Linked DNA regions of Anolis sagrei. Each later gene encodes a partner of the first gene's protein in a complex. Links are inferred from orthologs where the notes say so. Each region holds a gene or a part of one and is shown in the gene's direction. Other genes may lie near its edges.

The links. Proteins that work in one complex are often made in the same cells at the same time.
Region 2: RBL2 (region 1) and E2F4 share a complex: the UniProt entries of both Homo sapiens proteins name them as parts of the DREAM complex. The link is inferred for Anolis sagrei from reciprocal best matches to the Homo sapiens genes RBL2 and E2F4.

The regions. Positions count from the first base shown.
Region 1 is NC_090028.1:34,141,490-34,149,174, forward strand, and holds the start of RBL2 (retinoblastoma-like protein 2), read left to right. Parts: upstream 1-4,587; 5' UTR 4,588-4,605; coding exon 4,606-4,905; intron 4,906-7,685. UniProt on the Homo sapiens protein: Key regulator of entry into cell division. Directly involved in heterochromatin formation by maintaining overall chromatin structure and, in particular, that of constitutive heterochromatin by stabilizing histone methylation.
Region 2 is NC_090028.1:21,145,749-21,153,294, reverse strand, and holds the start of E2F4 (transcription factor E2F4), read left to right. Parts: upstream 1-4,535; 5' UTR 4,536-4,618; coding exon 4,619-4,750; intron 4,751-7,546. Other genes in the region: SDR42E1 (short-chain dehydrogenase/reductase family 42E member 1), read left to right, coding at 1,100-1,239, 2,043-3,144. UniProt on the Homo sapiens protein: Transcription activator that binds DNA cooperatively with DP proteins through the E2 recognition site, 5'-TTTC[CG]CGC-3' found in the promoter region of a number of genes whose products are involved in cell cycle regulation or in DNA replication.

The DNA.
Region 1 (7,685 bases):
TCCTGGTCCCGTTTCTTTTCTTTTGAACGTTTTGCAATATTTGCCAGTTGTGTTCTGTGTAGTCCGGATTTTGCTTTCTTGTAGTTGAACAAGCGTCTTAAGAGTCCTTTGTAATTTATTGAATTACTTTCTATGATGTTCTATAGAGCAAATGGAAGTTTAATTATTTTTTATTAAACATATTCTTTGACAACCCATGATGTTGGCCTCAGTACATTACAAAGTTCAGTTGTACGGATTTGCAAAGCAGTTGATTCCTGAAGCCATTCACTATTTGGGGAATTTATTCATGGAATCGAAGAGTTGGAGGAGACCTCAAGGGCCATCCAGTCCAAGCCCTTACAATGCTTGAGTGCCAAAAGTTTATTACCGAAAATAACAGTAGTGTTCCAGTCTATTGCAACCTCCAAGTGTGTGAGGACTATGTCACTTAACCTTCCCAGTATGCATTTTCAATGTTTCTTTCCTTCCTCGATTTGTTCATAGACTTCCCTCTTTTCTTTCCTTCTTCCCTTGATATCCCTCATACAACTTATTATTTCTTCTCTTATTTCTTCTCTTCCTTTTTTTCTCTTCCTTATTTCTTCTCTTCCTTATTTCTTCTCTTCCTTTTTCTCTCTCTTCAATCTTTTCCTGTCTCCTTTCTGCTCCCTTCCTATATCCGTCTTTCCTTCCTTCCTCTTCCCTTCATTCTTTCTGCACTCCCTGTCATGATCTTCCTTCTGCTTCCCTTTTTCCTTCTTCACTCCCTTCCTATGTCCCTTTTCTTTTCTTCCTTTTTTCTTCTTCGCTCCCTTCCTGTGTCCCTTTTCTTTTCTTCCTTTCTTCTGCTTCCCTTCTTTTTTCTATACACACTCTTCCTGTGTCCCTTTTTTCTTTCCTTCCTCTTCTTTTTTTTTCTTCACTCCCTTCCTGTGTCAATTTTCTTCCTTTCTCTTCCCTTTTTTCCTTCTTCACTCCCTTCCTGTTTCTTTCCTTCCTTCCTCTTTCCTTCTTTTTCTTTCTTCACTCCCTTCCTGTGTCCCTTTCCTTCCTTTCTTTTACTTTCTTCACTTTCTTCCTCTTCCCTTTTCTTTCTTCAATCTTTTCCTGTCTTCATCCTTTCCTTTTCTCTTCCTGTGACTTATTTCTTCCCTTCCTCTTTTCCTTTTCCTTCTCCCGCATTCACATCATCTAGCAAAAGCCAGTCTCCTTCACTTCCTTTATTCCCCAGTCACCTGATAGAGAACCACTTCACAGAGCCACAGCCAATCTGCTTTGTTCCTTTCTTTCTCTGCTCTGGATCTGAAAAGAGTGGTTCTTTCAGTTCAAACCTCTCAAGTATTTTTAGGTTGGATCATGAAGGCAATGTGTGCCAAGTTTGGTCCTGATGCATCAAGCCCTGGAGGAGCCTTTGTGGTACAAACCAAGCAACACCAAGACACTTTGGCTTTTTATAGAGAGATTTAAGGCCTGATTGGTGTTTTTGGACTTCAACTCCCAGAAGCCCCATCCTTCTGGGCCTGTTGTTGTTTATTCATTGAATCACTTCCGACTCTTTGTGACCTCGTGGACCAGCCCACGCTAGAGCTCCGTCAGCCGCCATCACCCCCAACTCCTACAAAGTCAAGTCGGTCACTTCAAGGATACCATCCATCCATCCATCTTGTCTTTGGCCGGCCCCTCTTTCTTTTTCCTTCCATTTTCCCCAGCATCATTATCTTCAAGCTTTCCTGTCTTCTCATGATGTGGCCATAGTACTTCATCTTTGCCTCTAATCTCCTTCCCTCCAATGAGCAGCCGGGCTTTATTTCCTGGACTGGTTGGATCTTCTCGTGGTCCAAGGCACTCTCAGAACTTTCCTCCAGCACCACAGTTCAAAAGTGTCTTATCTTCCTTCGCTCAGCCTTCCTTATGGTCCAGCTCTCACATCCGTAGGTTACTACATGGAATACCATTGCTTTTAACTATGCGGATCTTGGTTGCCAGTGTGATGTCTCTACTCTACTCTTCACTATTTTATCGAGATTGGTCATTGCTCTCCTCCCAAGATATAAACATCTTTTGATTTTTTTTGCACCTAGAACTATAAAGTCTGTCACGGCCTCCACATTTTCTCCCTCTATTTTCCAGTTGTCAATCATTCTTGTTGCCATAATCTTGGTTTTTTTGATGTTTAGCTGCAACCCGGCTTTTGCGCTTTCTTCTTTCACCTTGATTAGAAGGCTCCTCAGCTCCTCCTCGCTTTCGGCCATCAGAGTGGTGTCATCTGCATATCTGAGGTTGTTAATGTTTCTTCCAGCAATTTTCACCCCAGCCTTGCATTCGTCAAGCCCCGCACATTGCATGATGTGTTCTGCATACAAGTTGAATAGGTTGGGTGGGAGTATACAACCCTGCCGTACTCCTTTCCCAATCTTGTACCAGTCTGTTGTTCCATGATAAGTTCTGACTGTTACTGTGGAAATTATCTATCAAACAGATGGCAAGCTATTTAACCTCAGCAGACTGAAAGCCAAAAACAAGGTTACAACAACATCTCTTATAGAACTACAGTATGCTGATGACGTTGTCTGTGTGCATTCAGAAGACCTACAAGCCACTCTAAACACTCTAAACATCAAATCACCTCTCAAAGAAAGATTCCCCCAGGCACTTCCAAGCCATTAAATGGTAATCAAGGTGGCCAGTTGAAACATTCCCACCTAGCTCCAACAGACAAGAGTCCTTTGTCCCACCCTGGTCATTCCACAGATATATGAACCCATTTTCCTACTTCCAACAGACCTCACTACCTCTGAGGATGCTTGCCATAGATGCAGGCGAAACGTCAGGAGAAAATGCCTCTAGAACAGTGTTTCTCAACCTGGGGGTCGGGACCCCTGTGGGGGTCGCAAGGGGGTGTCAGAGGGGTCACCAAAGACCATCAGAAAACATAGTATTTTCTGTTGGGCATGGGGGTTCTGTGTGGAAAGTTTGGTCCAATTCTATCATTGGTGGGGTTCAGAATGCTATTTCATTGTTGGTGAACTATAAATTCCAACAACTACAACTCCCAAATGGCAAGGTCTATTTTCTCCAAACTCTACCAGTGTTCACATTTGGGCATATTGCGTATTTGTGCCAAGTTTGATCCAGATCCATCATTGCTTGAGTCCACAGTGTTCACTGGATGTAGGTGAACTACAACTCCAAAAACTCAAGGTCAATGTCCACCAGACCTTCCCAGTGTTTTCTCTTGGTCATGGGAATTCTGTGTGCCATGTTTGATTCAATTCCATCATTGATGGAGTTCAGAAGGCTCTTTGATTTATGGTGAACTATAAATCCCAGCAACTCCAGCATTACCAAATGACAAAATCAATCACCCCCAACCCCATCAGTATTCAAATTTTGGGCGTATCGGGTATTTGTGCCAAATTTGGTCCAGTGACTAAAAATACATCCTTTCTGCATATCAGATATTTACATTACAATTCATAACAGTAGCAAAATTACAGTTATGAAATAGCAACGAAAATAACGTTATGGTTGGGGGGTCACCACAACATGAGGACCTGTACTAAGGGGTCGCGGCATTAGGAAAGTTGAGAACCACTGCTCTAGAACATGGCCATATAGCCTGGAAAACCTACAACAACCTCCCACTACTGCAGTGGTTCTCAACCTTCCTAATGCCGCGACCCCTTAGTATAGTTCCTCATGTTGTGGTGACCCCCAACCATAACATTATTTTCATTGCTACTTCATAACTGTAATTTTGCTACTGTTATGAATCGTTATGTAAATATCAGATATGCAGGATGGATTTTCATTCACTGGACCAAATATGGCCCAAATACCCAATACGCCCAAATTTGAATACTGGTGGGGTTGGGGGGAATGATTTTGTCATTTGGTAGTTGTAGTTGCTGGGATGTATAGTTCACCTACAATCAAAGAGTATTCTGAAGTTCACCAACGATGGAATTGAACCAAACTTCGCACACTGAACTCCCATGACCAAGAGGAAATACTGGAAGGGTCTGGTGGACATTGACCTTGAATTTTTGGAGTTGTAGTTCACCTACATCCAGAGAGTACTGTGGCCAAAAACAATGATGGATCTGGACTAAACTTGGCACAAATACTCAATATCCCCAAATGTGAACACTAGTGGAGTTTGGGGAAAATAGACCTCAGCATTTGGGAGTTGTAGTTGCTGGGATGTATAGTTCACCCACAATGAAATAGCATTCTGAACCTCACCAGTGATAGAATTGGACCAAAATTCCCACACAGAACCCCCATGACCAACAAAAAATACTATGTTTTCTGATGGTCTTTGGCGATCCCTCTGACACCCTCTCGTGACCCCCACAGGGGTCCCGACCCCCAGGTTGAGAATCACTGCACTACTGTTTTCATCCGGGAGCGCGAAGCTTTGTGGGAAATGTAGTCCGCAGCAAAAGTGACGGCATTTATTTTTTAAAAGCCCCCACAGGCGCGCCTGCGCACAAGCAGCGCGCTGATTGGCGGGAGTTCTACCCCTGGCACCCAATCAGCGCAGAGGACGGGAGGGGTGAGGTGTTTAGATTCGAACGCGGAGGAAGAAGGAAAAAAACAATCCCTCCCTTCCAGCGGCGCATGCGTGGTGAGCGGCAGTGCGCGAGCGCCATCCCCTCACGACGCCCCTCAGTCAACACCATGTTGGGCGGCGGAGACGACGGAGGGGGAGGCGGCGAGGGAGCGGCGGAGGCGCCCGAGGAGGAGGAGGAAGGGAAAGGCAGCCCGGAGGAGGATGAGGAGGAGGAAGAGGCGGAGGACGACGACGGAGACACCCGGCAGCGCTACGAGGAGCTCTGCTGCAGCCTCAACATGGACGAGAGGGCCCGGGCCGAGGCCTGGCTCAGCTTCCAGGGCATGAGGAGGAACTACACTCTCGAGGTGGGAGGGGCTTCTCGGAGAGGGGGCGGGGCTTGTGCCAGAGGGGCGGGGCCTTCCTTAATGGGGCGGGGCTTGTGACAGAAGGGCGGGGCCTTCCTTAATGGGGCGGGGCTTGTGCCAGGGGGCGGGGCCAGACTGGTTGAGGGAGGTCTGTTGTGATTGACATTAGACCCTCTCTTCCATACAAAACTTAAAGGAATAGGAGTCCTTTAAGTCATTATTATTATTATTATTGTTTGTTTATTTATTTCACAGTTTTCTATACCGAGCTTCTCAACCTCGTTGAGGGACTCAGCCCGGTTTCCAGCCATAAAAACAAACACTCATTAAAATACCATATATCACAGATTACAAAAACACTATATGTAAACACTATAGTGGTCAGTCGTCCTATTAAGATGGGTCTACATCAACTTCCATCCAGGGTCCTAAGGTGTTATCTCATTCTTGTTATTATTGTTATTATTATCTCCCCTCTTCTATACAAACCTGTATACAGTACCTGTAAGCCTGTTATTGTTGATATTGGATCTCCTCTTTTATACAAACCTTTAAAGAACAGTCGTCCTATTAGGTTCTTGTGGGTTTTTTCGGGCTATATGGCCATGTTCTAGAGGCATTTCTCCTGACGTTTCGCCTGCATCTATGGCAAGCATCCTCAGAGGTAGTGAGGTCTGTTGGAATTAGGACAATGGGTTTATATATCTGTGGAACGGCTGGGGTGGGGCAAAGAGCTCTTCCCTGCTGCAGTTAGGTGTGAATGTTTCAGCTGATCACCTTCATTAGCATTTGAAGGCCTGCCTGAGCCTGGGAAAATCTCTTGCTGGGAGGTGTTAAGATGTGCCTGGTTGTTTCCTCTCTGTTGTTTTGCTGTTGTAATTTTAGAGTTTTTTATAATAGTGGTAGCCAGATTTTGTTCATTTTCATGGTCTCTTCCTTTCTGTTGAAATTGTCCACATGCTTGTGTATTTCAGTGGCTTCTCTGTGTAGTCTGACATGGTGGTTGTGAGGGTGGTCCAGCATTTCTGTGTTCTCAAATAATATGCTGTGTCCAGGCTGATTCATCAGGTGCTCTGCTATGGCTGACTTCTCTGGTTGAAGTAGTCTGCAGTGACTTTCATGTTCCTTGATGCGCGTCTGGGCGCAGGCGAAACGTCAGAAGAAATGCCTCTAGAACATGGCTCTATAGCCCGAAAAAACCCACAAGAACCTAGTGATTCCAGCCATGAAAGCCTTCGACAATATATTATTTTCCCCAAACCTCACCACTATTCACATTTGGGCATATTGAGTATTTGTACCAAGTTTGGTCCAGATCCATCATTGTTTGAGTCCACAGTGCTCTCTGGATGTAGGTGAACTGCAACTCCCAAAACTCAAGGTCAATGCCCAACAAACCCAGTATTTTCTGTTGGCCATGAGAGTTCTGTGTGCAGTTCCATTGTTGGTGGAGTTCAAAATGCTCTTTGATTGTAGGTGAAAAAATCCCAGCAACTACAACTCCCAAATGACAAAATCAATCACCCTCACAACCCCACCAGTATTCAAAATTGGGTCAGGGGAGTTCTGTGTGCCAAGTCTGGTTCAATTCCATCTTTGGTGGAGTTCAGAATACTCTGTGATTGTAGGTGAACTATAAATCCCAGCAACTACAACTCCAAAATAACAAATTAACCCATCCACCCCCCATCCCACCAGTATTCAAATGTGGATGTATCAGGTATTTGTTCCAAATTGGGTCCAGGGAATGAAAATGCATCCTGCATATCAGATATTTACATTGCGGTTCATAACAGGAGCAACATCACAGTTATGAAGTAGCAACGAAAATAATGTTATGGTTGGGGGTCAACACAACATGAGGAAGTGTATTAAGGGGTCACAGCATTAGGAAGCTTGAGAAACACTGACTTAAAGGAATAGGAGTCCTGTTATTATTGTTATTATAATTATTATCTCCCCTCTTCTATACAAACCTGTAAGGAACGGGTGCCTGTTATTGTTGATATTGGATCTCCTCTTTTATACAAACCTTAAAAAACAGTAGTCCTGTTGTTATTTTTTATTATTAAATTCCCTCTTCCATACAGACTTGGTGGTGGTGGTGTTGATATTGGATCCCTTTTTCTATACAAACCTTAAAGGAGCAAAAGCACTGTTGTTGATCATATTGGATCCCTTCTTCTGTACAAACCTTTAAGGAACAGGAGTCCTGTTATTATTGTTATTATTATTATCTATATTAATAAAAATGTAATGTTCATTTGTGGGGTTAACAGAACTCAAAAACCACTGGATGAATTGACACGAAATTTGGACACAATACACCTAACAGTCCAATGAGTGTCCATCACCCATAAACACACGCGCGCGCACAAAACCCCAGCGAACAGACTTAAAAACCCCCAAAATACACCATATATACATATACACATACACTCATATACATATATACATGTATACATTCATACACACACATGTATATATATGCACAAATATACACATATACACACATGCACATATACATGCACACATATAAACACACAAATACACACACACACACACACACACACATATATATATATATATATATACGCAAACACACATATATACAAAAATATATACACACACATATACACATATACACAGACCGGGCCACAGCAATGCATGGCAGGGGATGGCTAGTTATTATTAAATTCCCTCATCCATACAAACCTTAAAGGAATAGAAGCCCTTTCGTTGTGGATATTGGATCCCCTCTTCTATACAAACCTGTAAGG
Region 2 (7,546 bases), about 13 Mb from region 1:
CACCAGAGTTCACATTTGGGCATACTGAGTATTCGTGTAGAGTTTTGTCCAGATCCATCATTGTTTGAGTCCACAGTGCTCTCTGGATGTAGGTGAACTACAACTCCAAAACTCAAGATCAATGCCCACCAAACCCTTCCAGTATTTCTTGTTGGTCATGGGAGAACTGTGTGCCAAGTTTGGCTCAATTGCATCGTTGGTGGGGTTCTGAATGCTCTTTGATTGTAGGTGAACTATAAATCCCAGCAACTACAACTCCCAAATGTCAAGATTCTATTTTCCCCAAACTCCACCAGTGTTCACATTTGGGCATATGGAGTATTTGTGTAGAGTAGGGTCCACATCTATCATTGTTTGAGTCCAAAGTGATCTCTGGATGTAGGTGAACTACAACTCCAAAACTCAAGGCCAATGCCCACCAAACCCCTCCAGTGTGTTCTGTTGGTCATGGGGAGTTCTGTGTGCCAAGTTTGGTTCAATTCCATCATTGGTGGAGTTCAGAATGCTCTTTGATTGTAGGTGAACTATAAATCCCAACAACTACAACTCCCAAATGTCAAGGTCTATTTCCCTTAAACTCCATCTGTGTTCATATTTGGGCATATGGAATATTCGTGCCAAGTTTGGTCCAGATCCATCATTGTTTGCATATTGAGTATCTGTGTAGAGTTTGGTCCAGATCCATCATTGTTTGAGTCCACAGTGGTCTCTGGATGTAGATGAACTACAACTCCCAAACTCAAGGTCAATGCCCACCAAACCCTTCCAGTGTGTTCTGTTGGTCATGGGAGCCCTGTGTGCTAAGTTTGGTTGAATTCCATCATTGGTGGAGTTCAGAATGCTCTTTGATTGTAGGTAAACTATAAATCCCAGCAACAACAATTCCCAAATGACAAAATCAATGTTTTTGAGTGAAGGACATGCATTGGGTTGTTAGGTGTCTTGTGTCCAAATTTGGTGTCAATTCGTCCAGTGGTTTTGAGGTTCTGTGAATCCCACAAACGAACATTACATTTTTATTTATATAGATTGTATTCTCTTCCATTTTCAATTCCGTGTCATTTCCTCTTTCCCTTTTCACCTCCCTTTGCAGGGGCTGATGGGAGGAGCCAACAAGTCCCCAGACGGGGCCAAAAGGCTGGACATGGCGGAGGAGGAGGACAAGGAGGAGAAAGAGGCCCGCGCCCCCGCCCGGGAGACGGTCCTCATCACCGGTGGAGCCGGGTACTTTGGCTTCCGGTCAGTGTGCCTAGCGCCAGGCAGTCTCTTCCTGAGGGAGCTCGGGCGACTTTCCTGGGCCCCATCCTCACATTCTGAAACAGCGTCATGTGCTCAGTTGAGACTAGGCATGGGCCAACTTGGGCCCTCCCTTCAAGTCTTTTGGACTTAGGTCCCTGTAGGCTGGACACAAGCTGTAATGTGTCCAGAGAAGGGTGACTAAAATGATCAAGGGTCTGGAGAACAAGCCCTATGAGGAGCGGCTTAAGGAGCTGGGCATGTTTAGCCTGAAGAAGAGAAGGATGAGAGGAGATATGATAGCCATGTATAAATATGTGAGAGGAAGCCACAGGGAGGAGGGAGCAAGCTTGTTTTCTGCTGCCCTGGAGACTAGGACGTGAAACAAAGGCTTCAAACTACAAGAAAGGAGATTCCATCTGAACATGAGGAAGAACTTCCTGACTGTGAGAGCCGTTCAGCAGTGGAACTCTCTGCCCCGGAGTGTGGTGGAGGCTCCTTCTTTGGAAACTTTTAAACAGAGGCTGGATGGCCATCTGTCGGGTGATTTGAATGCAATATTCCTGCTTCTTGGCAGAATGGGGTTGGACTGGATGGCCCATGAGGTGTGCAGTGTGGAATAAATGGAAATAGACACACCTGTTACGTTTTATACCTTGCTGTCAGCCACTTTGACTCTCCAATGGGGGAGAAAAGCAGGATATAAATAAATAAAATGGGTTCTGCATTTGCAGGAGAATCTCCCTGCTTTGATGAAGGGAGAGCCTTGGTCCTGAAGGTGGTTTCCCTCCCTCTTTGTGTTGCAGGCTGGGCTGCTCCCTCTCCTTGAAGGGCGTGGACGTGGTCCTGTTCGACGCATCGGAGTCCCCCCCAGAGCTGCCTGAAGGTGTGCGTTTCGTGCGCGGCGATGTACGCTTCCCCTGCGAGGTGGAGCAAGCACTCCGAGGGGTCACCTGCATCTTCCATGTTGCGTCCTTCGGGATGTCCGGGCGGGAACAGCTCAGCCGGAAGCGCATTGAAGCCGTAAACGTGGGTGGGACACGCAACGTCCTCCGTGCAGCCCGAGAGGCAGGGGTCCCGCGGCTGGTGTATACCAGCACCTACAACGTGGTCTTTGGGGGTCAGGTGGTGCACAGTGGGGACGAGTCCTTGCCCTACCTCCCCTTGCATCTGCACCCCGACCACTACTCCAGGACCAAAGCTCAGGCCGAGATGGAGGTGCTGGGTGCCAACGGGACACCTCTGCGGGGGGCTGGCCGGGGGGTCCTGCATACATGCGCCTTGCGGCCAGCTGGCATCTATGGCCCCGGAGAGCAGAGGCACCTGCCCAGAATTGTCCGTTATGTGGAGCGGGGATGGTTCCGGTTTGTGTATGGAGACCCCAAGAGCCAGGTGGACTTTGTGCACGTGGACAACCTGGTGCAGGCACACATTTTGGCAGCAGAGGCTCTGGGGCCCAGCAAGGCGCACCGGGCAGCTGGACAGGCTTACTTCATTTCCGATGGCCGGCCGGTCAACAACTTTGAGTTTTTCCAGCCACTAGTGGAAGGCCTGGGCTACCCGTTCCCCACGCTCCGCCTCCCCCTCTCGCTGATCTACTTCTTTGCATTCCTGACAGAAATGCTTCACTTGGCAGTGCGGCACCTATACAACTTCCAGCCGCTGCTCACGCGCACTGAGGTCTACAAGACCGGTGTGACCCACTACTTCAGCCCAGAGAAGGCCAAGAGGGAGCTGGGCTATGAGCCTCGGCAGTACAGCCTTGAGGATGCAGTTCAGTGGTTCCGGTCCCATGGCCACGGGCGGAGGGTGGGCAGTAATGCAGCATCAAAGCACTGGCTCTGGTGCACGGCGGTGCTGCTCGCCTTGGCTGTGGCGGTCGTCCTTTCGTGGCTCCCAAGGGCTTAAAGCCTCCAACAGAACGAGGAGATACTAGCATTGATGCTGATTCTTTGATGTCAAGCTACTTTGAGTCCCCTTCAGGGGAGAGAAAGCAGGGTGTAAATAAATATAATAATAATAATAATAATAATAATAATAATAATAATAATAATAATAATAATAACAGCATTGCCCAATCCTGTTGGGTCTTTGCAATGGTGCCAAAATACAAATACAGGCTGAGCGGCGCTCATCCTATTATGACATTGAATGTTTGCCGATATCTGTTGTAAACTACCCTGAGTTCCCTCAGGGAAATATGATGGGATATAAATAAAAATATATATATTGTTCTTGTTACTGTTATTATTATCACCCAGAATTCCAAAATCAGAAATACGGTTGAGCCTCCACGTTTACAGGTTGGTGGTGGATTGGATTAATTCATCAAAATATTTTCCCCAAAAATTGCTTGGTCCTCCTTCCAAGGCAACTCTGTGTTCAATTTCCACTGCGCATTGTCCATAATGTCATGGTGGAGGATCTAGAGATCTATAGGGATCTCTAGGTCAGACCTTTCCAAACATTTCACCTTGCTTCGACGTGTATCATGATGTGATACAGCAATTTAGTTTTACTAACGAACCAGACGTTAAGCTAACCCCCTGTGATACCCTCATATGCATCAGTTGTTGTTTTTTTAAAAGTATTTTTATTGTTTTTCCATAGTTACTACTATGGAAATATGCATCAGTTGTAATCACAAAATGTATGAGGGTGCATGCGTGCGCATATATATACACACATACATACAAACATAAGGTGTGATTTATTGCTTATTTTGCATTAATCCAGAAGCTCCCCATTACATTTGTGCGACAGACATCCCTAAAATCTGCAGGAAAGCAACCAGGCCTATCTGTAATGATCCAAAAAGCTCTAAAATTACAACAGCAAAACAACAGAGGAAAAACAATCAGACCACTTTTATTAGCATTTAATGGCCTGGCAGTGCCTGGGGCAATCTTTTGTTGAGAGGTGATTAGATGTGCCTGATTGTTTTTCCTCTGTTGTTTTGCTGTTGTAATTTTAGAGTAGCCAGATTTTCTTCATTTTCATGGTTTCCTCCTTTCTGTTGAAATTGTCCACATGCTTGTGGATTTCAATGGCCATGAAAGCCTTCGACAATACACTGTGGAATACTTTCACGCATGCGCAGTCCCTGAAAATCCCTCGCGGCTCAGAGGGGACTGCCTGCGAAAAGCGCGGGCGCCCAGCAGGGGTCGCTGCGGGGCTGATGTTCCTCTCGAGGCGAAGGGGCGGGGCCTAGTGGAGAGGGGGCGGGGTGAGGCCTCGTGGAGGGGGCGGGGCCTCGAGCTCCACCTATCCCTCGCCTCCCTTTCTGGCCGCCTCCCATCATGCCCTGCGGTGGCCGGAAGCGGCGGAAGGGTCAGCGCGAGGGGCCGCAGCGGGATCCCGGAAGCGGCGCGGGGCCGGGCGGATGGCGTCGGAGTCGGGGGCCCAGCCGCCGGGGGGAGGCCCGAGCCGGCACGAGAAGAGCCTGGGCCTCCTCACCACCAAGTTCGTGTCTCTGCTGCAGGAGGCCAAGGACGGCGTGCTCGACCTCAAGCTGGTGAGGGGAAGGACGGCGCTGATCAGGCAGATCAGGGCCCAGCAGCGGATGCTCTGGCCCGCTTTCTTTTCCCTCCTTGCGGGTTCCCCCTCTCTCTTGCCTCCCCTTCAGAGGAGGAGGAGGAGACCTTTCCTTGTCCACACAAAGGGCCTGACATAGAATCATAGAATCAAAGAGTTGGAAGAGACCTCGTGGGCCATCCAGTCCAACCCCATTCTGCCAAGAAGCAGGGATATTGCATTCAAATCACCCCTGACAGATGGTTATCCAGCCTCTGTTTAAAAGGTTCGAAGCCTCCACCACACTCCGGGGCAGAGAGTTCCACTGCTGAACGCCTCTCACAGTCAGGAAGTTCTTCCTCATGTTCAGATGGAATCTCCTCTCTTGTAGCTTGAAGCCATTATTCCGCATCCTATTTATTTATTTATTTATTTACTGTGCTTATAGACCGCTGTTCTCAGCCCTGGGGCAACTCACAGTGGTGTACAACATGGAGAGAATAAGGTGCAAATTACAAGAGAAAATCTAATAACAAACTAGCAATATCAAAACATCGTCATCAACAACATCCACAATCTCAATATCAACAATACAAAAATACCAATATCGTTTTCCATTGTTCCATTCCTGTTGTCATTGCCAATTATTACACTTCTTGTTCGAACGCCTTCTCGAACAGCCACGTCTTTAATCTCCAGGGAAGCAGAAAACAAGCTTGCTCCCTCCTCCCTGTGACAGAAGTTCCAGTTTCCCCTCCCCCAGCCCACCCTTGCCTCTCTAGAGGCGCAAGGTAGCAAGACAACACTAGACAATATACCAGACACACTCACCGATTCTGTGATGTATGCTTGCTCCACGTACTGAAGGGCATAACGCTCGGAATTATTCAGGTTCCACCTATAGAATCATAGAATAATAGAGTTGGAAGAGACCCCATGAGCCATCCATGTCCAACCCCTTTCTGCCAGGCAAGAGAAAACAATCAATGGTTGGAGGAAGATTCGGAAGAAGCAGGAAACAAGCTTGCTCCCTCCTCCTCCTCCCTGTGGCTTCCTCTCACATATTTATACATGGCTATCATATCTCCGGTAACAGCGCTCCATGCAGTCATGCCGGCCACATGACCTTGGAGGTGTCTACAGACAACGCTGGCTCTTCAACTTAGAAATGGAGATGAGCACCACACCTCAGAGTCAGACATGACTGGACTTAATGTCAGGGGACTACCTTTACCTTTATCATATCTCCTCTCAGCCTTCTGTTCTTCTGGCTAAACATGCCCAGCTCCTTAAGCCGCTCCTCATAGGGCTTGTTCTCCAGACCCTTGATCATTTGAGTCGCCCTCCTCTGGACACATTCCAGCTTGTCAATATCTCTCTTGAATTGCGGTGCCCAGAATTGGACACAATATTCCAAGTGTGGTCTAACCAAAGCGGAATAGAGGGGTAGCATGACTTCCCTAGATCTTGACACTATGCTCCTATTCATGCAGACCAAAATCCCATTGGCTTTTTTTGCCGCCACATCACATTGTTGGCTCATGTTTAACTTGTTGTCCACGAGGACTCCAAGATCTCTTTCACACGTACTGCTCTCAAGCATCCCTGGCACTCAGGGCCCTTCCACGCAGCCCCATAACCCAGAATATCAAGGCAGAAAATCCCACAATATCTGCTTTGAACTGGGATATTTCTCTCCTTATTTATTTTTTTAAGTTATTATTATTATTATTATCATTATTAACTTTATTTGTACCCCACAAACATCTCCCGAAGGACTCGATGCGGCTTACACAGGCCAAGGCCTCAGTAAAACAACAGCATAACAAATACATAATAAAACTCATAAAGCAACCAAAAACATAAAAGCAGTAACAATAAAAACAATAAAACAATACACCGTGACACATTTAAAAACTAGGGCCAGGCCAAATGTAATGGGTACAGTTAAAAAGTGCTGGATATGACAGGTGAAATGTAAGGATTCTAGGGTAGGTGCAATGTGCAGACAGTCTTAAATCTCTAATAAAGTGCGTTTGGGACATGATGCTGGAACGTTTGGGTTCATATACGGAGATGCGGTCACGCAGGTAGGCAGGTCCCAAACCGTTTAGGGCTTTGTAGGTTAGCACCTGCACCTTGAATTGGGACCGGAAAATGTATGGCAGCCAATGGAGCTCCTTAAAAAGGAGGGTTGACCTCTCTCTGTAAGGAGCACCAGTTAACAACCTGGTCGCCGCCCGTTGGACCAGCTGAAATTTCCGAGCCATTTTCAAGGGCAGCCCCACGTAGTCCAATCTAGAGGTGACCAAGGCATGGTTCTCAACCTGTGGGTCCCTAGATGTTTTGGCCTTGTAACTCCCAGAAATCCTAACAGCCGGTAAATTGGCTGCGATTTCTGGGAGTTGTAGGCCAAAACACTTGGGGACCCACAGGTTGAGAACCTGTGGGTCCCCAAGAATACAAAAATCCCTAAAACAGTGGTTCTCAACCTGTGGGTCCCCAGATGTTTTGACCTTCAACTCCTAGAAATCCTAACAGCCGGTAAACTGGCTAGGATTTCTGGGAGTTGTAGGCCAAAACACTTGGGGGCCCACAGGTTGAGAACCACTGGTCTAGATAAGCTTAGGCCCCTTCCACACAGCTGAATAAAATCCCACAATAACTGCTTTGGATTGGGATATATGGCAGTGTGGGCTCAGATAAACCAGGGCCCTTCCACACAGCCCCGTAACCCAGAGTATCTGCTTTTAACTGTGTGCCCTTTCACACAGCCCTATATCCCAGAATATCAAGG